Coturnix japonica: one gene and its partners. The protein of the gene in region 6 purifies or fractionates together with the protein of the main gene of each other region. This does not show direct contact. Links are inferred from orthologs where the notes say so. Each region holds a gene or a part of one and is shown on either strand. Other genes may lie near its edges.

Region 1 (4,150 bases), on a different chromosome or scaffold from region 6:
CCCTTAACTTTCATCTGCAGGCCACGAGCAGCTTTCATGTCCTTCAGCTATCTCTGATACTGTGAGTGTGTAGCTGCAATATGATTGTGGGACAACTCTATATGTTATCCTGAGAATGGTACAAAAAACCTTGAAGTCAGGTAGGACATAGGTGAAACCTTAGTGTATGTTATAACCTTAGGTGTCTCGGTTCTTTTCTTGCAAATCCTTCTCTGTGGACTCAGGCCAGAAACTTTCTGTTTTAGCACTGAATCCGCTTTCATAGGGCAGACCTCCCCTCCCTACTGTCAGCTTCCTCGTACTTTTGAGCATCCAGGTGTGCCCATCTGCAGAGCTTAAACTTTCCCTTGCCATGGTCCCTGATGTGGTAAACTATTGCCGGAAAACTGGGTTCTGCTGTCCTGAAAGCTGTTCAGTTCCCAAGGCAGAGCGAGTTCTTTGCCAACAGCACCACCTACAGCCAGCAGCAAGGTGCGGTTGAAAGAGGGCAGGGTGCAGGCTGGAAAGCAGAGCTGTGGTTTTTACCCACGAACCTGATCCTCCCGGGTTCTGCAGCAATGCTGGGGAGGAAAGGCAACCAAAGGACAGGCTGCCCAGCTTTTCGTACTGGTGTATTTATCCCAGTCTTTCACTGGCCTTCTAACATTCTCTCTTGTTTTCCTAACGCTCCCTCCTTGCCATCTCTCCCCAACACTCCTGCTCATCCTGGCCTATTCCACTGAGGTAGTTAAGGCTCAATGATGCAATGGCTAAACCAAAGTACTGTGTCTCAGGAAGAGGATGGGAAGCTCTAGCTTCCACAGGTCTGCAAAGGTATTATTTCATTTCTCTTTGGGAATAATATTTGACAAGAAAAGAACAGACTAAACACCTTGCTAATGAACTGTGAGATAAGTCTGCAAAGTCCACTGCTGAGCTTGAGGGGCTTTTTGGTCAGTCTGAGGCAGCTGGAAGTGGAAACTGCAGTTGGCATGGCTCTTTCTGTCTAACGTATGGTACCTCAAAGGCAAGAAAGGACATCGCCCCTCTGCCAACACCACCCTGCCCTCTGTGCCAGCCCACCCTGAGGGACTATCAGCACTGGCAGTGCTGTTCTTACTGACTTCTTGTTTGTGGTCCGGATAACACAGCAGCGCTGCTCCTTCTCCACAGTGACACTGTAGACCTCCTTGGGGTAGGGCAGGTTACGGATCCGCCACTGGAAGCTGGTCAGGGTGTCCTTCCTCATGAAGACAGGCTACAGCAAACAAGTACCTTTAGCAAAACCCCTCCATCTGTCTCCTCTCTCCTCCTTGTACCCTTTTCTCTTACTCACATGGGAGTATCTCTTCTTTCCCACTGGATTATTAAGGAACAACTCAAGAAACTGCCTGAGCATCAGTTCTGAAGGACTAGCATTTACTAAGGGTGTTGCCTGCTCTGCTTGTAGGAGGCTGAAGGCATTCACCAAGGGAGTCCCACAGCAGTGTTACAGTGAAACTGGGCTTCTGCCCCAGTCTGCTGCGCAGAGCTGCTCTTGTGTTTCAGATCTATAGAAAAGAAAGTGAGAGGCTAAAGCCTCCACCCCTACACTAGTGGGACAGGAGGTAAAACAGCCAGTGCTGTGTTAAAGAGCAGCCTGTTACACACTGCCTGTGTTGGCTTTTCACTGTTATCACCTCACTTTCCATCCACTGATTTGTCCTGGCTCTGGCCTTCCTTTCAGCCTACTTTTGTGGAAGCTAGCACAATAGCTGGCTACCACAGCAAAACAGTTTCTTGGTTTATGGGAACCACAAATCTCCTGGAGACCTCAAAAGAACCTAAACCGTGCCCTCTTTCTCCCCAGACCTTTGGGATTCTTTGTAGCAGAGCACTGGGCAGGTTAAGGCTGTCTCTTGGGGCAGTGAGTGATCTACAGCCTACTGCTGTTAAGTACAAGGCTGGGTAGATAGTTTTAGGTGCAGACCTAATGCCTGCAGGCTGTTACGTACATTAGAGCTGCTTTCCTTTATGAGCTCTGTTTCTAGTGGCCCCAGGAGAGGCAAAGTTGGGTCTCCCACTTCAACCTGCCATTTGCCAGTGCCCCCGAGGGTGTTCTTCTCTCGCCACCTTCTACCTGTAGAAGGGAGAAGAGATTCTGTTATTCTGCTTTATAGGAAGAACTCCAGCAAATTACCAACAAAGATGCCCAGCACCTTAAACTGAAATTACAATAAGCCATTTCCCTTAATTTCAATTATTTCCACTTTGGTATAAGTGGATCAGTTAGCTGGACTACTCCCGAATCCAAGAACTGTGCACTAACTGCCTCTTTTTTGCTATTTGATCCTGAAGCCATAGTAGGTTCACAACAGATGCCATGCCTCAATTGTGGTTTTGGATAAGATCTGTGACCAACACCTTGTCTGTCTGTGGCTGCAGAAGCCACCAAAAGGCATGTTTCACCCTAGCACATGCCTCAGCACATGCCTGGCTGTGCGAGCTGGCAGTCCCATTCAGTGCCATTAAGTCTGTTGTGAGTGACAGGCAGTTTGGGAGTGATCCTGGGCTGAAGCAAAGATTGCTCAAGGAAGTGAGAAGACCTTAGGCCTAATCAACCATAGTTATGTCCCTTCATAAGGGAGGGGGAGCTCCAGGAACAGTTCAGGTATATTTAGGGGCGCTTCCTTCCTGCCCAGACGGTGCCTCCCCCCACTCCAGCCCTGCACATACCGACCCATCACCCCACTTACTCAGTAACTGGCTGGTCTTCATGTCGTACTCCTCAGCCATCTCCTTCCCATCCTCAAACTGGTAGTGGATCTTCCGTTTCCCTAGAAGCAGAGCAGGGGCTGAGATTCAATAGGAATAGCTTTACCCCTGTGTGTAGGGCTCGGTACCCCGTTTCCTTGCACGATGGCAGCAGCACAGGGCCGTGTCCCCACGTTTACAGACCCGTTTCCGCCCATAGTGCCCAAGCCTCGCTCTCTTCCCGCAGGGCCTCCCCAAAACACCCCGGTGGGAGATAAGAGTAATGCGGGCTCCCACCCCGGCTCTCCGCTTCCTTTACCGTCCTGCAGCAGCGCGGTCTTGCTGGCGGCCTGCAGCCTCTCCAACCAGCTCGGTACCGCCATGGCGGCCGGGGCCCGTGGCCACGGCAACGCTCACACTTCCGCCGCCGCCCGGAAGGCCTCTGCCGGCGACCCGGAGGTGAGTGCGGCCTAGCGCGGCTGTGTGAGCCCCCCTCCGCTCTATGGGCTCCGGGCCTTCTGTCAGCCCTATGGGGCCCTCACAGGGATCGCTGCCAGCCCAATTCCCCAACAACAGCAAACCAGCGGTACCGACCGACAAAGGCCATAAGCAAAAGATGCGAAAATTAAGTTGTTTTTGATTGTGTGTAACTGTTTTAAGCAGCTTTCTCTGTTCTTACTGCTGTTCAGCAGCTGCAGCTTAACTTCCCCCCAGGGGAGCGAGGCACAGCCCGGCCTATGGAACCACGGGGGATTGTCAAAGCCTTTCCCAAGAGGAAGAAGGTGAGGGAGGACTCGGGGAAAGGCGTCCCTCCAAAGATCCCAAAGGAAGGAATGGAGGAGCCCGAGGGTAAGTCCCATGTCCCATGTATAGGATGTAATTGGAGGTGCTGTGCCCTAAAGGCTTCTTATGGCCCAAGTGTATTTTCTGAAGAGGTCTGGCTGGCTTCAATGTGTCCAGCCCATGTGCCACCTAAGATATGTAGCACATTTAGTTCAGGACACTGTTTCTCTGTCATTGATTTCCTGCCTCTGTGCTTTTCCACAGCGGAGTGGCTGAAGCCAGTCAGTGCCTACGTGCTGCAAGCTGGCATTGGCCAAGCTAGAGCAGAGATCTTCCACAAGCAGATTGTCCAGAATGGAGGATGTGTACACAACCGTCTCTGCTCAGAGGTGACTCACGTCATTGTAGCTGAAGATATGGACTGTGATCGGGCCTTTCGGCTCCTGAAATTAGCCAAGCTGCCTTCCAGGCTGCAGCTGGTGAAGGCATCCTGGCTCAGTGATTGCATTAGAGATCAGAAGCTGCTCAGTACCGCTGGCTACAGTGTCTTTGTCCCTCGGAGGTAGGCACGTCATGCCGTTTTTCCTCTCTATCGTGCCTTAATCCTAAATTGAATCGCACTAAACTTTGACCCCCGCTCACAATCGCAGACTAC
Region 2 (3,310 bases), on a different chromosome or scaffold from region 6:
CTTCATACCTACATTTCTAGATACCTCTGACCAATTCAAACATTCAAACCAGAAGGCTGGTAGTAGTCTTCTCTGCAATTTAAGTGGAAAGGTAAGGAATCTCTTCCTTACCACTACCATGGTACTGTAGTTTTGTAAAGATACAAAGCAGATAATCACTGAAACTTAAGCGCATGTCACAGAAGGAAAACTTGAAACTTATAATTGATTCATGAAGAAGCAAACAAAGCATCTACTTTTCCTCATTTCAATCAACAAACTGTCAGATCAATTTTAGTATTTCAGTGATGCTACAGTAACTTCTAACACAGTTCTGATCTGCTAAGATCCAAGTCCAGCTGGCATTCCACATTCTACTTGAACACTAACTCAATCAAGTGTTCTCCTTCCAGCATGACAACAGCAGGCGATTTGTCATGCAGTGCAGCTGACTTAAGTTTGCCTCATTTTCTGACAGAAATACATTTTCAAAGTATTTGACAAACTATAAAACAAGCAACTTTATCCAAGAGTCAAATGATGTTTATTATGGTATGACAAAAACAGGCTGTTTTGATAAATTATTTTATTGCTCGGAGGTAACATGAAACTTTTCAACTAGAGTCCCCATCCCTATTTACCCTTGAGGTCTTCTAGGATACTGAAAAGGTAGCAGTACTGTTCACTTAGTTTTACATCAGTTAAATGCTATTTGGTTTTCCACAGCCTCTAAAATAAGGAACAAAATTCCACTGTGCCACAATACAGAACATCATGATGTTGTGAAATAGAGTGAGCTAAACAGCAACACAGAGCTGCAGCTTGATAGCAGATCCTGCTGAAAAAAAAAACCAATAAATCCCCCCTCCTTTCTCTGCCCAAGCGCACACACCCCATACTAAATGCAGGCACTTACTGACGATGCCAAGAGTCAGCTAAGGGAGCTAACCCAGCAAAGAACAAATTGTAACTGCTCCTCTAAGTTACAGTTCACTGTAAAATGTAAAGCCACATCCTGAGGTCTATGACTATTCTGCTAGTCTTGGAAAGAATTTGCTGCCTTACATTCCCCGTCTCTAAAAAGCTCTGCTTCTCATCTACATCACTAAGGCATTCTGCAGATTATATACATTCTTAAAAACTAGCTGGAAAACAATAAAGGTTTACTGAAATTGCTCCTTAATGGAAAATTAGCAGACCAGTGTCTAATATAACATTCACTAAATGGAATGTAGCACTTTCATCAGAGGGTAGAAATTTACACTGAACTGAGTCACCTACAGTAGATTAGTAAATACGAACTCTGACTTTTAAAACAGAAGCGTAACTTTCTCTGCAAGTACTCACAAGGTTGCTCAAATACAGAAGAGCAAGTTTTATTTTTAAGAGAGAAGTAAGAGCAATTTAAGGCCAAAGTACCAGCAAAGGAAGACTAAGATGTGAAAGTAGACAAGAATTTCTTGGTAAAATTGTGCAGACATCTGCAAGGTTACGCCTCTCTTAGCTAACCTGTAAAGCTGTTCCCAGGAGAAGATACTAGAGAAAATAGACATTTATACAAAATTATAAAATACTTGTTATATGAATTATTGCTTTACAAAGGACACCAACATCCTTTTTCTATTAGGTACCAATTAGGTCTCTCAAAACTTGTAAGGTCTGTTAAAAATGGAACTTGAATTACGCAAAAAATCCAATATAAACTTTCTACAAAAAAGTCCATCCCATTCCTGAGTATGCTAAAGCTCTAAGTCAGAAGAAGCGCTGAGAAGCAGCAGTTTTCACATTAAGAGATTTAAGGACATTTTCTTTCTACGCATTGTTTCCCTCCTTCTTCATATTCTTGTTTAGAAATCCACATTTGTTGGAAAGTACCCTACAAAAACAAAACAACAAGGCAGAAACATGGAGGTTAGGTGAAACACGCTGCACTTCTCATTAAGGGAAAAACAAGAAAATCTTCACATCAAGTAAAGAAAGAGGATTTGACTCCACATGTTTCATTAGCTTTTTCCTTTGATTTTTTTCCTACTGGTGATTAAAACTCAGACTGAAAGTTGCAGGACCAAAAGCTGATTTCAGCTAATGAAATTCCCACAAACCACACCAATGCTCAGTAACCTGGACAATCAAGTTCATGCACATGATAAAGAAATGTATTTACACCCTTCACAGTGCACTATCTACACTATATTTTTAGACACCGCATTTCAAGCCTGCACATTCCCATTTAATATAGAACCACAGAATCACAGAATTGTAGGGGTTGGAAGGGACCTCTAGAGATCATCAAGTCCAACCCCCAGCCAAAGCAGGTTCCCTACACCAAAGAAGAAGGTGGCAAATTACATTCAGATTGATTGGAAAGGTTCAGATAATTATTGCTCCATTAGCATGAACTCTTCAATGCATACTTATATGACATTAACTTCTGCTGCAAAATGTAGTAATGTGGGTTTACTAACCAAAGAAGCCAAAATTGAACCACCAATCCATGAGCTGAACCTCCGCTCCACTGTGGTGTTGTTTGCTATCAATTTCAGACGCATGCTCTGCATAGAAAATGAGGTGAAACAAAAGAAAAACACTCAGATACAAATTGCAGGAGACTGGTGCCCTTTAGTAACACGAGGACAACACAAAGAACTCTGTGTACGTGTTATCATGCTGCTGGAAAAGATCAATCTTATTCAACTTACAACAAAGCTCATCTGCCCTGTATTTAGAATCCAAGAAAAGCTATGCTGCAACAGAAGTATATGATGTTTTTATCTTGTCTCTCAACAGAGACCATTAGTAAATGCAGCAGAAAAGCAACATGATAAGTAACAGAAATGTGAAGTGTTGTCTTACCGGTGGAGTTTTCTGAGACAGCTCCCTGTTCAATCTGTCTGTGAAACTCTGTATTAGTGTGTTCCCTCCCGCTACAATCACACTGCCATAGAGGCCCTGAAATGAGAATCAGCAACCTATGTTAATTCTGAAATCATTCTGAAAACAACTCACTCAGAGTAGAAAGGAATGACACACGATTACATAGAATCAATAACAACAATAATGTATCACATCTTATAAACAATACTGCATCTCACAATTAAATTTATTAATTGTATGAAAAACATCTAATAGGAGCTCAATAATGTACTACATAATGAAAATAGGAGCTGAGATTAACAATCCTAAATGATTTCACAGAATATTTTCTTCAATTAGAAGGTCACCCACACAAACATCCTATATTGAAACTAATGGTTTCCTTTCAGCTCAATCACAGAATCAGTTTGGGAATGTCCCATAAAGATCATTGACTCCAGCTCCTGGCTCCAACTGG
Region 3 (3,500 bases), on a different chromosome or scaffold from region 6:
AATTATTGCAATGATATATAATGCAATACATACCTGGTAAAATGTCCTTTACGTGGTGTGTTACAGTTTTAAAGCCGGTTAAAATATGCAGTCTTCGGATAAAATGTCATTGGTTGAAAATTTTCTCTTATCTGCACAATTTTATATGTGTCAGATGCATAATTTTCCTAGTCAGCTTTTTTTTTTCCTGTGTAATTATTTTTTATAAACTGGTATTATAAATAGAAATATACATTCAAAATATATGGAAAAGTGAGTTACTACATTAAATTTGCATGTATCGATCCATCCCTTTCCCCTGCACAGTAATAGAAAATACTATTTTGCCTTGAACTTCATATTTGACAGTGAAATGCCACTAAAGTATTTACCAAAAAGTCCATCTAGTCAAATTGTGAAACAAAATGAACCAAGTGAAAACTTTACATTTCCTTTAGAAAAAAATTACAAGAATTTTGTCTCCTAGCTATGAATCTTTAACTTCTTTTTTTAGACACAAAGTTGGATTTATTTGTACAAGATACAAAATGTAAACATGGCAAAATAAATAGTTAAAACAAGTGATGCAGGATCCCATTTCATGCTCATGATCCCATTAAAGAATTATTTTTTAATCCATTCAGTTGCAAATTCAAGTGCAAAAGCATGATGATGAATATCTACTATTCAAGTAACAGAAATAATATTGATGATACAAATAAACTATTTTACAAGGTAGTGATTCTCCCAATTTTACAAAATTTACATTATATATCGACTTAATACACGATATAAGGATAGTCCATTTAGGTCCATTTTAGTTCTCTGTGATCCACAGAGTGCTGTATTTTGCATTCGGTTGGAATATAAATGACTACACCGTTAGCACAGGTTGAGACACTGATTTGAGGTTATGTCACTTCCATTGCTACTGTTGTCTCTGCTATGCCGTTCAAACCCAGCCGCTCTGGTTCATGGTTCTCTCTGTAACAAAAGAAGCATTCCACAATTACAGGTAGAACACGGATATTTCCTTATGCAATTTCAGTGATTTCTTACAGGCTCTGTGCTCTTACATGGCTATGGACAAACCTTAACATACACACTAGATAGAAACAGACCATTTAAAGCTGAAATACTGGTGGTTTAAGAATGGCTTTAACCCCATGAACATTGCAGTTCCTTCTACAAGAGTATTAGCAGAGATGTCCCAACTTCAATGCATTTAACTATAAATTACCAGCCCAAATTACAGATAATAATAAGTCTCCTGAAGGAACAGAGTCACGGTATGCCATTAGGACTTGTGCAACAGCTACCAATTATTCCATTTGTGAACTATTTTTTTCCAGTTCAGTTTCAGCACAAAAAAAATTCTAATTTCTTTCTGACTTTATTACCATCCCCTGTAGAGGAGCCTTAGGTCTATTCAGCTAAGATGGTTCTTTTTCAGGCATATGCTGACTTGACTTGAAACACCCCTGTGACTCGATGGAAACAAGAGCTAAAGGCACTAATGATACAGGAATACGCTTTAAAGCAATTGCTAATTTAAAAACAGCTTTTCCACTCTCTGCACAGGGACTGTACTATACGTGTGGTTCTCCATCTCAAAAGCTCTTTTTAACAACTCTGGATATGTCATGAAATAATCCATAATGGATAAAGCTAATGCTCTTTTTCTGCTTTCTTAACCTATAGACAAGTATTTCTTTTTTGCTTTTAAAGCATCATACAATCCAGCAGAGACCTTTACAACAGAGCCCAAATGCTGTCATTTGCAAAACATAATCAGCTACAAGCCACTGCCACTCCTGTGGAACACTTAAGTACTGGCTAAGTACTCGTAAATGAAAATAATTATACATTATAAAGGCATGCATAGTAAGAGACAGACTGGCTTATATCTGTTTTCTATTTTGAATTCAAAACGTGTATGCACACATACATATGTATAAAATAGATATGCCAGCCTGCATCTTACATTATGGGTACATATAGCTGCAGAGAGAACACATGGAGAGTTTGAAAGAATCTACTTGGCAAGTGCTGAATAAGAAGGGACAAATGAAAATGGTTAGAATGAAGCCACTTAAACACAATGGAAGACGACCAAAACTAGTGTGCTCCAAACTGGCAGAAGTTTTAACTGGAATCTGTGCTCTAACTTGCTCTGCGCTTACCTTGCTATACTGCTGATGGCACTGCTAGGAGTTACCTTTGGCACTCTGTCCATACTGGCAGCAACTGTGGCAAGTTTTAAGGCTGTTGGCGATGGTGCTGAAGTCCTTGTATTAATATGCACATTGACTGGAGAAACAACGCTGACATTGTTGAGGTGCACTGCATTAGTCAGGCAAGAATTGTTCATGGGAAGTGTTTGAGGGCTGCTTGTGCACAACGCTGGAATTAAGTGGTTTGTGGTGGTGTGGCCAACTGTCCTTACAAGCTGTACAGCTGAAATCCCTGGGCTGGATGATAAAGCCATGTTGGTGGAGTACAACGTTCTAGAGGTTCCTGTTGCAAAGCAAATGTTTTTAATTAAAACATGCCATTTAGATTTAAAGACAAAAGGTTAAATCTCAACAGTAATGATTTAAGCATGTGAGTCACTGGAATCATCCCTGTGTTAACTGCTTTAAGGACTCAAACAGATGAAAAGTCTTAGAATTCTTTCCAGTCAAGCTTAGGAGTATTTTAAAAGTGGGGGTTTTTTTTTGTTTGCTTCATTCACAAAGACATCAGAAAGTGGAAGAGTCTGTAGTGTCAAAGAGCTTTTATATTTTCCAACTTCATGCACTTCAATTTAGGAGTCTTAAAGTGCAGCATTCCCCATAAAAGTACATCATATGGGACCACAGCTTAGCCAGGCAACTATAGAGACTGAGTGAGAAGCCAAGTTCTGATGCTTTGAATCACCTCCTCCCTTATCTGACTGGCACCACCATGAGTTACTTGGGTCTTCAAGGCAACAGAATGAGGAGTACAGGACCCCTCCCAGCTTACAAAGCAGTGCTGTCTGTATTCAGATGGTGGGAGAACTTCAGGCTCTAGCTACAATCAAGCACAGCACATACTCAAACTGGTGGCTCTCAGGATTCCTCTTCCTATTCACTGATGGAAAAAAAAAAAACTGGGTCTAAGAACATTTCTCCCTATTCCTACAAAAAGCTGGTTTTAGTCAATATGTCCTAATTTAAATCTTCCTATCTGAAGCTGGAATGGCTGTTTTACATCAGTGACATCTACAGCCTTGGAACAGTAACACAAATCTAATTTTATATGCATATCTGCAATATTTTTCATCAACTGTAAGGCTATCGTGCTGATACATGGTACACACACATACACCTGATCCTGTATCCCTCAAAACATTACACTCTCAGATCTGATATTTCAGCAAGTTATACACAGTTGCCCTTTTCTTTACTGGATCAGTTCCAGTATATTGATTTTATTCAGCTGTGTTGCACTGCTCTCCCCCTCACACTTCTACTTATTTCACTATTCAGCCTAGCAGA
Region 4 (3,038 bases), on a different chromosome or scaffold from region 6:
CTGGGCAAACCATAACCATTGTAGGTGCAAGAATGTTGTGTGTGTTCAGCACTTGGCTGGGGGAAGGGGTTTAAACAAGTCTTGTGCAAGTTTTAGGTTTGTTTTTTTTTTTCTTTTTAAAAGAAGCCAAAAATAAAGTCTGTTGATGTGCAATAGGGACCTTTGTTCTGATCCACTGCAGGGAAACAGCGAGCAGCAATAAACACGTGCTGAAATGAGTTGCCAACGAGTGCTGTGTTACCTCAGGCTGCTCCCACCTCCCTGAGCTCAAGGCAGCAAGGTAAGGCTGAGGGAGCACAGAGCTCTCCAGGACAAGTAAAGCAGTAAAGCAGTTGGGCTTGCAGGCACGTCCCACTGGGTTTTACCCCCAGGCACCTCTACTGAGTGCTCAATGTACCCACAGCCTGTGCACACTTACTGCCTGCCCTCCCCCTGAGCAGCCCAAGTGGTCTGAGAACTGTTCCCTGCTTGAGGAGTCAGGTAAGCAAGAAAGTCACCCATTCAAAAATAGGGCTTTTATTATTAATTTTCTTTAATATAAAAAAAAAGTGAATAAAAATTAACTTCTTTTCAACCCAGGTTCTGACAGCCGTTGGTTGCTGTCCGCACTGACTGCATCTCTAGCATTGAAGGGAAAAGTCACATTTAAGACTAAAGCAATTGAGGAGGCTAAGACAAACGTTACAGGATCTCTGCAGGGAGAGAGCTCAGAACAAAGCAGCCAGGGTCCTTCCCTACTAAAAGAAGCTAAAATCCTGGCACTGTTCCTGACTCAATGATCTCTAGAGGTCCCTTCCAACCCCTAAAATTCTGTGATTCTGCCCCTGCTGAGCACAACTCCCTTAACACTCAGTGCCCCTGTGCATAGCTGCCAAGCCTGCATTCACAAGCCCTGTAATAAGCCCAGCTCTGCAGCTCCTGCAGCTGCACCCCCCACCTAACGCCTCCTGAGCATATTAGATACCAAAAACCAGCAGAGGCAGCTGAGAGGGCTGCAGCCCCGTTCCAATAACTGGACTGGAGCCAGCACTGGCAACATGACTGGGACACACTGGGTCTGGGATCAGCACACAGCTAACAAGCAGGTCCCCACACTAAAAAGCACAAAGCAGGAATTTCATGTTCTAATCCTTTTATGATGGAGTTGAAAAGAGGTACCAAAGAATGGACATCTGCGTCAACTAGCTGAGGGTCAGGCCAACTATATGGCCAGGTTAAAACCAACCAGAGCCCCCAAATAACCGATTCAGCTGTCTCCAGAGGAGCCAAACCCTTCCAGATGGCCATGGCAAGGCCAGTCCCTCCAGACACAAGCACATTCTGTAACTGTCGGGTAACAGTTTTGACACTGGAAGAGAAGGAAGAGGCAGGAGAGAAAAGGGAAAGTGTTGTTTCTCCCTTTCACGGTGAAAACAAACCCCAAAGAGCAAGGAGCTGCATCTTCCCTGAAGATACCACTTCAACTGGCATCAAGGTGTCCAGCTTCACAGAGCAATTCAGTGCAGGGCCAGTCGGGCACCACACTCCTCTGGCTACCCTTAAAACAGGATGAGGAGGGGTGCTGGAGCAGGGCACATCCTGGGCAAACAACTTCTCACTCATATGCACAGCAGAAAAGAAACTTGGAATTTGCTGGCCCCTCAGCTGCACGGGCAGTCCTCTTTTCCTCAAGGTCTCAGACTTCTCCCTCCCTAACGATGAGGTTTGCCTGCTTTGGACAGATCCAGCTGCTTACTCTGAACTCTCTTCTACCTCCTTCTGTTTCTTTTTCTTCTTCTTCTTCTTGGTGCTGCTTTCACTGATCTGCAAAGAGGATCGAGAGTTCAGGAATTAATCCAAAAGGCATCACTCACTGCTCATCTCAGGATGACAATGCAGCCCACATGAAGTCTAACACAGCACTCTCAGTAAAACTCTTTCACCTCCCATTGTTTCACACACAGCCCCAGGTGTCCAAACATCACACACGCTTATCCCAAGTGCCCAACAGACAGCAACTCTTCCCAATGCTTGAACCATACCATGGCAGCACTGTCACATGCCACTTCTATTTGTTCTTCCCCACTCTCAGCCGCTTCTTTGGCTTTCTTTTCTTTCTTCTTCTTCTTCTTCTCCTTTTTGCTCAGCTCCTCTGGTGGTGGAGTGGCTGGGGATGGTGGGGGGCTCTCAGCCTCATTTTCACTCTCTGACTCTCGCTTCCTCTGTTAGGAAAACACATTGTCAGACCATTTTCCAAAGGAACTCAAGTGTTGGAAAAGCTGTTTGCAAGCCTTTCACAACTGCTTTTTCCCCCGACTTCTTAGTAAGCAACACTTCAAACATGAGTGTGAACCACAGACTGCCAGAAATCCCTTCCATCATACAGCAGAGGGATTCCTTCCTGCCAGAATTACACCCCAACTTCTTAGTGCTCCCTGTACCCCAAATCCTCCTATTCAAAACACTGCTGCACTACCTGCAAGCCTTTATTTATATCCTTACATCAGTGCAGAACTCCTAACTCAGGGAGCTCCATATGCAGTATTTGCTTGGACTCCTTAGATGAACCAGATGTACTCCAGAAACGTTCTCTGGCACAATGACCTGGCACTGTAGCTCCATCCAGTGTATTTCTTTGGATGCTGCAGCTTTTACAGTACTCCTCATTCCCACTTACTGTGCTGCACTATTCACAGACAGAGACCAAAAGGACAGAGCAGTGGGAGCACTCTCAGCTCTCACACAGACAGGTTCTACCATAAAAGTAAGCCCAAGATCCAAAGCAGCCTTCATAGCCCAGACAACCTTAAACCAGAGAGCAGCAATACTCACTTTTGGAGCCCGTTCCACCTCTGACACAGCCTGGGGAACTTTAGCTACCTCTTTCTTGGACGGCTCTCTAAAAGAGAAGAGACATCGAGCTGAGTGGGACTGCTGCTGCCTTCCACCAGTACAAAGCCCCCTCCCCCTCACAAGGGTTCCCTAACCCACACAGACATTGGGTAGGGGGGCTAAATGTGGGGATGACTTGCAGACTGCACCAGTGCCAGCTGGACAGG
Region 5 (3,155 bases), on a different chromosome or scaffold from region 6:
TTGTCCACCTATGGACAGAGACAAGGCAGGATCAGATAGACCCCAGTGTTTAACAGTTGTTTATTAGATGAGCAGCCATGTTCTTCTGCACCCTCCTCACAGCTCTGAATCATCATCTTTAAGAGTTTGACATCTATAGTCAGAAGTGAAGAGTGCCTATTTTGGTAATCCTTAAAGACAGGCCGTTCAGTTCTGAGGGTGCTGGCCCAAACTGCGGACTGACAGTTCACCAGCTTTGATATGAGCATAGAGGAAGAAGCTCAATGTATCTGAGACATGACAAACCAACAAGCACTCCTACAGCATTAGAACCTTGCTGCAGGTCCTGGAAGGAACTGCCACCTCTGGACAGAACAGAATAAACATTTCATAGTTTCATAGTTTCATAGTTTCGTGCGGGTTGGAAGGGACCTTAGAGATCATCGAGTCCAGCCCCCGGGATTCGAGCCTCTGTGTAGCAGAGCGGCACTTCTACCACTTGCGCCACAGGGGGGATTCGAACCCCGGGCCCCAGTGTTGCAAGGCGGCGTCTTTAACCACTGCACCACCGGGGCACACAATATATTTCACTCCAATATAACCCCTGTGCCTGTTCCTCACCTCTGAGGGCAGAGTATCATCTACCAGGATGTTTGGGCCAGTGGCATCCGGCCCGAAGGCCCAGATGGAACGGGCAGCCAGCAAATCCCAGTCGTATTTGGTCTGGAAGAATTCACCCAGCTTCTTTCTGATGGAAGAACAGAAGGAAGTTTAGGAAAGCAGAGTCTGATCTGCACTCAGAAAGTAAGTATTTATAAACCTGCTCCACATAAAAACAGCCTCAGCTTTTTACACGAAGCAAACTGTTTGCTGGGCCAGGATGCTCCTGGACTCACTGGTGCACCCAGGATCCCTGCCTGGGAGCTGCTGACTGATCCTTGTGGATCCCAGTGCTCCCTACTTCCCCAGTTATTTCCCTCCAGAAAGATCCTTGCTCCCCCCAGACTGTCCATACCTGTTCCACGTTATTTGGACCACTTCATTTTCAATGTCCTCCGCAAGTCCCTTCTCCAGAGGTTCAGCAATCATCGTGATCTTGTTCCTGAGAAGAGAGACAGTTGCAATTAGTCCACAGAATGACAGAAATGGGAGTAATTGGCAGGACCTCGGGGACTGTGCAACACAGCCAGAGAGATGAAGCCATCCGTGTCTTTCAGCATTACTGTTGTGCTTGTAAAGACAACCCACGCTGCTAACAACTGCTCTCTGAAGTCTGCTCACCTCCAGCAGCAGATTGCTAAGGGACAGGAGTGGCCCCCATCCCTCCCTGCCAGATGTCCAGAGCTCATACTGGCTGCATAAGGAAGTGTCAGACATAAGGGATGTTGCTTTGGACAACGCCACTCACATGGGAACGTTGGCCCTATAGCACGTCACTCCACCTGCCCTGCACCTCTAAGACAGTCTGAAGAGCAAAACCTGTCTGTTCCCAAAAACAAGACTTCCAGCCACAGTATTTCAGTAGAAAAGAAGGCAAGAATTACCAGAAAGCACAGTGGAATACAGGAAAACTATCTCCATTGTATGATAGATCACCATTTCCATGAAAACTCAGGCATTACAACATGCTGTATTACAACATACTTTCATTCTGGTTATTCAATCTATGATTCCATGCCAGGCCTCCCTCCCTCCAACATGCACATCTCCTAACACCTTGCTGGAGCATAAAGACAAGACGGGGTTGTAAGGCACCAGAAAGGAGTATATTAATTTCAAGATTAAGATGAAACGTTTCACAAGTTTTGTGGAATCACTGAAGGCAGTAATGGGCTCTTTGGCAGTAATTGGCTCTATGATCCCAATACACCTCCCAGTCTTGAAAATGACAGAGAACTGCTGAGAGGGTGTGAAATTCAGTTAAAGGAGAATGTGGATCTTTCTTCTATTCCCTCCATTCTGAGCTCACAGAGAACACAGAAACATCTGTGGGACTCAGTGTGTTACTGGGGCTCAGCAGATGGAAGGCTGCCACTTGCCTGGGAGCAGCCCCCTAAGAGAACCCATCCACTGCCTGTCCCCACTGACTGCTCCCATGGCTGCCCTGGGCTCTTACTTCTTATTGGGAGTCTCAGCAAAGCACTTCAGGGAGGACGTTTCCACCACTGTCTCACAGAACGTCACGACCGGATCAGCGACCTGGAACAACAGCATCAGGTTTGTAGAGGGAGTTTGTATTATTTAGATTGACACAGAAGCCCCTCTTACAATATTGCAACAACCTCAGCACAGTGAGGAGGAACCAGAGGCAGACAGTCACCCTGTCAACTGTGCAAGGTTTATTTTCCCATCCTTCTGAGTTTGAAGGACAAAACCCTTCCCCAGCTGGGAAACACCCCCTCCTCCCATTTCCTCACCTTGATATCAATCTCAGAATACATCTTCCGCAGATCATGCATCACGCAATCCAGATAGAGCTCCCCTGTCCCCAGGATCACATGTTCTCCAGACTCTTCCACCTGAAAAACAAGAGAAGGGTTCAGTTCACAGCATTATTGCTCACAGGTCCTTGTCTTGCAGGGCCCCATATAAACCTCAGGATTTACCAGCATTAAAAAAAAACCCAGAACAAACAAAACATCCCCCAGTTAAACTGATTTGTTCTTAAGATCAGCCTATGAGGTATCCCAGAGCACACATACACCAGAAATACCTTTGTGGTAAGCGATGGGTAGCTCTTGTTGACTTTGCGGAGACCATCCAACATTTTGGGGAGCTCAGAGGGGTTGACTGGCTCTACTGCTATTTTGATGACAGACGTAGTGTTGAACTTCAAAGGGCGGAAGATCTGAGCCTGGAATCAAGTAAGGACAAAGAGCTTTGCATCATAGATGGACCTTGGGGTCTAACAGAGCATCTGAGTTGTTCTCCTTCCACTGTTGGCTCTTGTACCCCAGCCCTTGTCTTTATTTAATCTCACCACCTCAGCTTTTAAGATACATTCCAACACCCTAAATTCCTGCAGGGCTGAGTGACAGCAGGCGCACACAGTACCTCCTCATTGCCTCGTGGCTCCGTGACAGTTGCAGTCTTCACAATGGGCTGGTCCACTCCTTCTATCAGCACCCAGTTGCCAGCAGGAACACGGTTAACCTCAATGTGATACCTAAAAGGTG
Region 6 (2,888 bases):
TGTAGAAGTCCACTCCTCATTGACTCAGCAGGTCTTCTGCCACCATGTGAGCGGGGCATCAAACTAACAGGCTGCCCAGGGAAGTGGAGGAGTCACTGTCCCTGCAGACATGGCTCTGAGGGATGCGGGTTAGTGCTCTATGTGCCATCTTTGTGCATTTGGAGTCAGAAAGAGGTTTCAGGTTTGAAAGCAGGATTTGCTCCTTGGCCAAAAATAGTCAGAGATTTAACAAAAAACATCATTCATTACATATCTCTGTCACTGCTGTTTAGGTGCAGATGTAGAGAATGGAGTAGGCACATCATTTAAAGCACAGAAAATAATTAGGGCTGGCTGGCAATACTAAAATCCATATTGAAGAATGGGGCAGGTTTTCACATGACTGTGACAGTAGTAAGTGATCAAAACAATATTGAATCCAAATGAACAGTAAGTGGTTTTAAGTCACTTTTATAGTAGGGAATGTCAGGGTCAATAACTTCACCAACGTGCACTTGTTCTTAGATCTTGAAATACTTTATTATAAACCACTTCAGACAAACTTTGATTCAAAACCAAAAAGTCATCTGTAAAAGGAAACTATTTTAAAAGGAGATTCATAAAGAAAATAGACTGTTTTTAAGCATCAGCTTCAGTTAGAGCTCTCCCGTAATGAAATCTAAAAAACACTGGTGGTTCAAGAGCTATTCATTTCACAGGTACTCATAAAATGGAGACTAAGATGTTACAGAGATATCATAGAGCATCTTATCATTGACAATGTAATAAGAACACTTGCTATTTAATTCTGGCCTGACAAAGCAGTCCAACATTTAAATATTTTTCCAGTCCCAAAAGAGACAAACCATTAACATTTCTTATTTAAGCCAGCCCTGGGTAAGGGTTAACGCCGCTTCAAGGCATCTAATGTAATAAGCTTATTTCATGTACTTCTCCTGTTGATCAGCCAAGATTTTTGCCGAGGACTTGGCGTCATAGAAAAGTTCATTTATTTCTTCAATATGCTCCTTCTCAATGCTGTCTTTCCCATTAATCTTGGCAAGCAGGTTAGCTGGGGTCAGTAGCTGCACGGCGTACCTGTGACCAAACACAGATGGATGAAAAATTACAGATCAGTGCATTCCAGTGAACTGAATAAATGTATGGGTGGGAGAATTATTAAGTAACACACAGCTCTAGTCATATAAAAAGAAATCTGTAAGATTCTATAGCTGGTACATCCCTTAAACAAGGCAACAGGAGCATTACAAACCTTTAGCAGTGTTAAGTCTTCTTAACACAGTGTTACAGTATGGGAGTGAGCTGTCTTGCTTCAAGAGTGAATTATCCTATGGAGTTTTAAGACCCGGTCATGCTTACAAAGTATGAGAGAAAAACCAATTGCATTCAACTCACCTTAAGGTTGTTTTGGTTCCAATTTCCCCTAAATGATTTAGAGCTTCTTCACTAATATTAATTCCTTCCGTCTGGGCACGAAGTTTTATGATCTGTTGGAATAAGTAAGTCAGGTAACAGCCCAGGCTGTTAGCATGTTAGATTACTTAGTTTATTTCCTAGATGCACTGTCAGCTTAGCAATGGGGATGTGCTATAAAATGATACGGTACGAACTTATCCTGCTGTAGTTTACCTCTACACTACAACTGATCTGTGGAATTCCGTCTTTGAATGGGCAAACATCATGTTGATAATCATAAAAGCAGGTTGATGTTTTGACTGTACTTTGTGATGATTGTGCATGGTTCGCAAGGTGGATCTACTAATGAGAAGCAGAGTAAGAGAATTATGCAAGGAAATCGATAAAGTACACAGAGAATAATGGCAACAGCTGGAGCCTTGTGGGCAGCAACACCAGTTCCTACATTTTGCAGTGTATTGTTGTGTGTTCCAACAAGCCCTACACAAAGCTACACTTCCCATAGCAGCTCACAACGCACTTTTTATTCCGTTGACAATACAATTGTAAAATAAATCAAAAAGTTACTTTCTTAGATTCACCTATTCATGCAAGAAGAAAAAAAATCACTAAGAAAAATCTAATCTTTCAAGAACAGTCCTAAGGCTTGTACCAGTTTGCAGATCTTCACAAAGTTGGAGAGCAAGATATCACAATAAGCCTGAGCATATAAAGCTGTAACAGAAGTGGCGCAAGTCTCTCGGTAGTCCGTATTACCAGCCGAGTGATAAGGGGCAGACTGGATAATGATGTTGTGTTGTAGTGCTGAGATAACTCTGGAACTGCAAGCCTCATATAATACAGGTATTTTTCACTTTGGCAGCTTTGTAAACAAGATATCAAGAAGCACTTGTTTAAATTAAAGCCATAAAAATGCGCCAGGGGAGTCAGGGTAGGGAAGAGAGTAAAAGAGGGGTTTGAAATAGCAGAAAGTTGTGCTAAGACATTAATACTGAATATCAGAAATGGCCCCTGCAAACTGCAATTCCAAATTGAAGACCTGTCACATCCGATAGATCACCCGAACAGCACTTTTCATTCATTCCAATACTACTGCTTTACTCTTCCCCTGTTAGAAACAAGACACCTTGAGTGCCACTTACCTTAGAATAACTATCTATCTCTTAAAACTTTTTATCTAGCAACCTGGTAGAATCTCACTGAAGGATCAGGGTCTAAGGCAGTAACCCAGAAAATACATACGAACACGCTTACTTCAAATAGGAAAAGTAGTGTTTACCAGGTGAAATAACTAACACCCATTGTTCATCAGGTGCAACCTCTTCCATCTAACAGCAGGGAAGAAGTGTGACTAGTATCTACATATAAAGGGGTTATCCTAGAATCATTGTATCCCTGTCCTGGTTGCAATAAGGTAACTGGGTGTTTCTGACAGCAGAACCACACAATGAGATTTCTACTGGTTATGAACT
Region 7 (3,500 bases), on a different chromosome or scaffold from region 6:
AAAGCCAACTTCTCAGTATTTTATCTCAGATTTGACTGGACCGCCAGAAAGGGGCTCAGTGTCTCAGAAGAGGTAGTGACTTAAGTTGCCCTCACATTCCAAGAAGGATTCAGGCCAACCAAGAACTACATCATCACAGACTACTACCGAGCTCACACTCATATTCTCAAGAGATGCTCATCATGGTCTTGCATGATGCCTTCAGCCAATTAGCTCCTGAGAGAAAACTTGTGGTGAGGTCAGCTAAGCTTTATTTACACTGACCAATGTGACCCACCTGCATGAGCAATGAGTCTTGCTCCAACCAGTTCACCCACCATAACGGTGAGATTAGGAGCAATGGCCATCATTCTGTTCTTCAGGTAGTCATACAGCTGTGTCCGATACTCAGAGATCTCAATTACCTGGCATAAACAAAGTTTAGTTACATGAATCAGAATTGGCTGACAGACAAATCTAAGTCCTAAACGAAGGTGGCTACTACCAAGGAGGCTAACAGTGCAAACTACACAATCAAGAGTCAGTTACAGAAAGCTTTATATAGGGTATATTCCCAGAGCAGAGTTCCATCCATGAAGTGTATTGGATTTGTACTGTTCATTCCCTCATGTAACCTATTTTCTCAGCAGAGCTCCTGATAAAGGAGCTGACAACATGCCAAAGACAGCGAAGCAGAACAAAAATACTTAGTAAGGACATTTTCTTTAGGACAAAACCCTGGAACATTCAGTTTTCACATAAATCTTTGTCACCATTCTCTTTAAATAGGATAAATGATCTCTACTTGTTCCATACAAATGCACTCAATTAAAACACACATAAAAAAGCAGCCCAGTCTAGACTGAGAACAGGACTTGCTATTCCTAACCCTGCCACTCCCTGGTAAAGTCACAAAGGGATTCAGTTGGCACCAAAGTCAGAGGGAGTCCATAGGCAATACAAATGAAAGCAGGAGAGGGCTCCGAATTCTTTTTAGGCCTCAGTGCTCCACTTTTAACCCAGGGTTTACCGCCCAGCTTCAAAACTGACAGGCGAAAAAGAGGTTGCGCAGTACCATTTTCTTAAGGGCTTAAAAACACACCAGTGCCAGAATTCCTTCCAAAAGGAAGACACTTGCAGAAGGCTTCAAATAGACATCAACAGATGGAGATGGCTCAGATGAGGTAGTGACTGTGCACCCTCATGTCTGTACATCAGGAAAACCACAATATAGGAATCATCACTGCCATCATGACTGTGTTAGAAAGGGCCTAGGTAGAAGAGTCTCTGACGCTGTTAGGCATTGTGGAATTTCTACTGCTATTCATATACATATGCATACCTGATCACAGAGATGAATTATGTTGTTTATATCTTCTTCTGATACTTCTGTTCCCATGGAAATCTCAGCAGCAGCTTTTACATCCTCCTCAATCTCCTCTGGTAGGATGTCAGAAACATCAGAAGATGCAAAATTTCTTCTATCTCCTGCAGGGGACAGATGAAAGCACGTTTGTAGTGGGGGTGAGATGAGAAGGTATGAAAAGAACAGAAACAGACAAAGATAAAAAGGCTAAAATACAGTCAGTCAAGTCTGCTATCATCCTAACCTAAACTACCAAAATATACGTTGATGTTCAGACCTTATTTACACTACCAAGAAAGGTTAGGTCAATTCAATTTGGAACTAGAAAAAGCCCTTATTCCTTAACACCAAATACTTCACCTTTTCAGTACCTATTTGCTGTAAAATTTTCAGTCACAAGACTACGAAGGAAGAATATCAGTAAGCAGCAGTTACTTTTAACTAACCAGGTCTAAATATCCAAACTGGTCTGATTAATTCCAAGATATGCTGGTGGTCTTCTTTATGCTGGTCATATGATATTAGCGTTATATTACGGTTCAGAATTTCAAACTGCATTAGCATACAGAGGCAACCACACACCACCTCTGTACTGGCCTTATTTGCACTGGTTTAGATGGTAGGATTGTACACAACACCATGACCTGCTGTAGAGCGAGTTGCTGGTCTATAAATCTGTGTCATGACATTTCACGTTAATACACAATGCATCCCCCAGGCTCACGCCTCCTTATTACTCACCAACTTTCCGCACGCATTTACAATAGGTCAGGTTATCTGTGATGATTTTACCCAGCTCAGGGAAGTGCCAACCATACCATTCTCTACAGCGCATGATATAATTATTCAGTTCTTTGTCCAAGTCATCAAGAAGTGCTACGAGAAAGAAGAATGGACTTTTGTTTCTTACAAGGACATTGAAAAATGGTTAACTCTCAAATCAACAAATTTAAACAAAGTAAGCAAAGATAACAGAAGTAGATAAGTTGCTCCAAAAGTAATGCTTCCTATTTATTTCCAGGGAAACTACAACAGATGCAAAAAGCATAACACCACTATTTGATAAAGCAAATTCTCATCTTCCAAATACCTTTTTTCAATGTATTCACCACCATTAGCTATACATATTCATCAGTAATGAAGAAGTCTGCATGCTGCACTAGTAGAAGTCTGTACTAGAGCAGGGACCCAGTGCCATCACTGCCTCACTGCCATCCACTGCCTGGTCTCCAGATACGTTCAACAAGCATCAGTGAATGTCAACGGGTGCCATTTTTTCCACACAGAGGAATTCAATGACCCCTTCATTTCATATATGCATCCATGTCAGATACTATTCTGTAAGACTGTGCCTTTGCTGCCATATGCCACACAGTACCACAATATAACTTGATATTGGTGGGAAGATTCTACTTCTACTGCCATACCGCCAACATTCACCTCTGAACATAATAAAACAGAAGGCATTACTTCTAGAGCAGCCCTTGTTCTATCACAAAGATTTGATGGAATGCAACTTAAGCTGCAGTGAAGTAGAAGTCCTTTGTTTTCAGAGAACTGCATAATCCTAGGCACAGTAGTGCAGAAACATTAGAATTAACACAAACATTGTCTGAAAGTTTAACCGCTGGCACCACTTTGGAGAACAGATGCCTTTAGCAGCTGCAAAGGGCATTCTCTTGGATGGGGCACAGGAGCCACCGTGATTCTCCCTCTCAATCAGAAAAGTGTTCACACACAAGGTAGATGTAACAATTAGCCACCTAATAAACGTTAAAGAAAAAACCTAATGGTGAGAATGTATCTAGTATTCACAGTTACTTGATTGTGTTAAGCCCTTTAATTGTCTTTACACTATAAATGCATCTGACAAATCCAACAAGCTCAGCAGCTAGAAGATACGACTGATAACTGGATTTACAACATCAACATGTAACACCCACGGCATATATTGCTACAGAGCCCTGAGGCTAAAATATTTCCCTCTAATGCAATAACAACATTTCCATCTGTTGTCTCAGTGGTAGTGACGAAGGAACTGAATTAAATCATTATTTTCAGCTTAACTATGTTTCATCATTGACAACAGTCTGGGAATTAATATCCCAAACAGGATTCCTTGCAACTGCTTCACAGCAAGAATGCTGATTATGAT

Evidence for each region.
Region 1: the proteins of RUVBL1 (region 6) and DPCD purify together in Homo sapiens (affinity purification with mass spectrometry; 6 studies listed by BioGRID and IntAct, counting the BioPlex papers as one, with this or other methods). This does not show direct contact. The link is inferred for Coturnix japonica from reciprocal best matches to the Homo sapiens genes RUVBL1 and DPCD.
Region 2: the proteins of RUVBL1 (region 6) and ACTL6A purify together in Homo sapiens (affinity purification with mass spectrometry; 10 studies listed by BioGRID and IntAct, counting the BioPlex papers as one, with this or other methods). This does not show direct contact. The link is inferred for Coturnix japonica from reciprocal best matches to the Homo sapiens genes RUVBL1 and ACTL6A.
Region 3: the proteins of RUVBL1 (region 6) and EPC2 purify together in Homo sapiens (co-immunoprecipitation; 3 studies listed by BioGRID and IntAct, counting the BioPlex papers as one, with this or other methods). This does not show direct contact. The link is inferred for Coturnix japonica from reciprocal best matches to the Homo sapiens genes RUVBL1 and EPC2.
Region 4: the proteins of RUVBL1 (region 6) and DKC1 purify together in Homo sapiens (affinity purification with mass spectrometry; 4 studies listed by BioGRID and IntAct, counting the BioPlex papers as one, with this or other methods). This does not show direct contact. The link is inferred for Coturnix japonica from reciprocal best matches to the Homo sapiens genes RUVBL1 and DKC1.
Region 5: the proteins of RUVBL1 (region 6) and EFTUD2 purify together in Homo sapiens (affinity purification with mass spectrometry; 4 studies listed by BioGRID and IntAct, with this or other methods). This does not show direct contact. The link is inferred for Coturnix japonica from reciprocal best matches to the Homo sapiens genes RUVBL1 and EFTUD2.
Region 7: the proteins of RUVBL1 (region 6) and NOP58 purify together in Homo sapiens (affinity purification with mass spectrometry; 4 studies listed by BioGRID and IntAct, with this or other methods). This does not show direct contact. The link is inferred for Coturnix japonica from reciprocal best matches to the Homo sapiens genes RUVBL1 and NOP58.

The regions. Positions count from the first base shown.
Region 1 is NC_029521.1:19,945,177-19,949,326, forward strand, and holds the start of DPCD (protein DPCD), read right to left. Parts: upstream 2,801-4,150; 5' UTR 2,755-2,800; coding exon 2,715-2,754; intron 2,099-2,714; coding exon 1,974-2,098; intron 1,238-1,973; coding exon 1,104-1,237; intron 1-1,103. Other genes in the region: POLL (DNA polymerase lambda), read left to right, coding at 2,878-3,171, 3,402-3,561, 3,760-4,057. UniProt on the Homo sapiens protein: May play a role in the formation or function of ciliated cells.
Region 2 is NC_029524.1:15,347,882-15,351,191, forward strand, and holds the end of ACTL6A (actin-like protein 6A), read right to left. Parts: intron 2,929-3,310; coding exon 2,833-2,928; intron 2,532-2,832; coding exon 2,445-2,531; intron 1,856-2,444; coding exon 1,775-1,855; 3' UTR 501-1,774; downstream 1-500.
Region 3 is NC_029522.1:31,150,190-31,153,689, forward strand, and holds part of EPC2 (enhancer of polycomb homolog 2), read right to left. Parts: intron 2,497-3,500; coding exon 2,163-2,496; intron 964-2,162; coding exon 891-963; 3' UTR 1-890. UniProt on the Homo sapiens protein: May play a role in transcription or DNA repair.
Region 4 is NC_029519.1:2,073,881-2,076,918, reverse strand, and holds the end of DKC1 (H/ACA ribonucleoprotein complex subunit DKC1), read right to left. Parts: intron 2,879-3,038; coding exon 2,812-2,878; intron 2,202-2,811; coding exon 2,022-2,201; intron 1,804-2,021; coding exon 1,732-1,803; 3' UTR 501-1,731; downstream 1-500.
Region 5 is NC_029542.1:765,795-768,949, forward strand, and holds part of EFTUD2 (116 kDa U5 small nuclear ribonucleoprotein component), read right to left. Parts: intron 3,146-3,155; coding exon 3,034-3,145; intron 2,834-3,033; coding exon 2,693-2,833; intron 2,499-2,692; coding exon 2,397-2,498; intron 2,179-2,396; coding exon 2,096-2,178; intron 1,082-2,095; coding exon 995-1,081; intron 728-994; coding exon 601-727; intron 9-600; coding exon 1-8. UniProt on the Homo sapiens protein: Required for pre-mRNA splicing as component of the spliceosome, including pre-catalytic, catalytic and post-catalytic spliceosomal complexes. Component of the U5 snRNP and the U4/U6-U5 tri-snRNP complex, a building block of the spliceosome.
Region 6 is NC_029527.1:7,160,865-7,163,752, reverse strand, and holds the end of RUVBL1 (ruvB-like 1), read right to left. Parts: intron 1,488-2,888; coding exon 1,396-1,487; intron 1,078-1,395; coding exon 918-1,077; 3' UTR 501-917; downstream 1-500. UniProt on the Homo sapiens protein: Possesses single-stranded DNA-stimulated ATPase and ATP-dependent DNA helicase (3' to 5') activity; hexamerization is thought to be critical for ATP hydrolysis and adjacent subunits in the ring-like structure contribute to the ATPase activity.
Region 7 is NC_029522.1:10,261,229-10,264,728, reverse strand, and holds part of NOP58 (nucleolar protein 58), read right to left. Parts: intron 3,439-3,500; exon of another isoform or gene 3,351-3,438; intron 2,222-3,350; coding exon 2,087-2,221; intron 1,468-2,086; coding exon 1,322-1,467; intron 1,232-1,321; exon of another isoform or gene 1,148-1,231; intron 405-1,147; coding exon 278-404; intron 145-277; exon of another isoform or gene 59-144; intron 1-58. UniProt on the Homo sapiens protein: Required for the biogenesis of box C/D snoRNAs such as U3, U8 and U14 snoRNAs. Part of the small subunit (SSU) processome, first precursor of the small eukaryotic ribosomal subunit.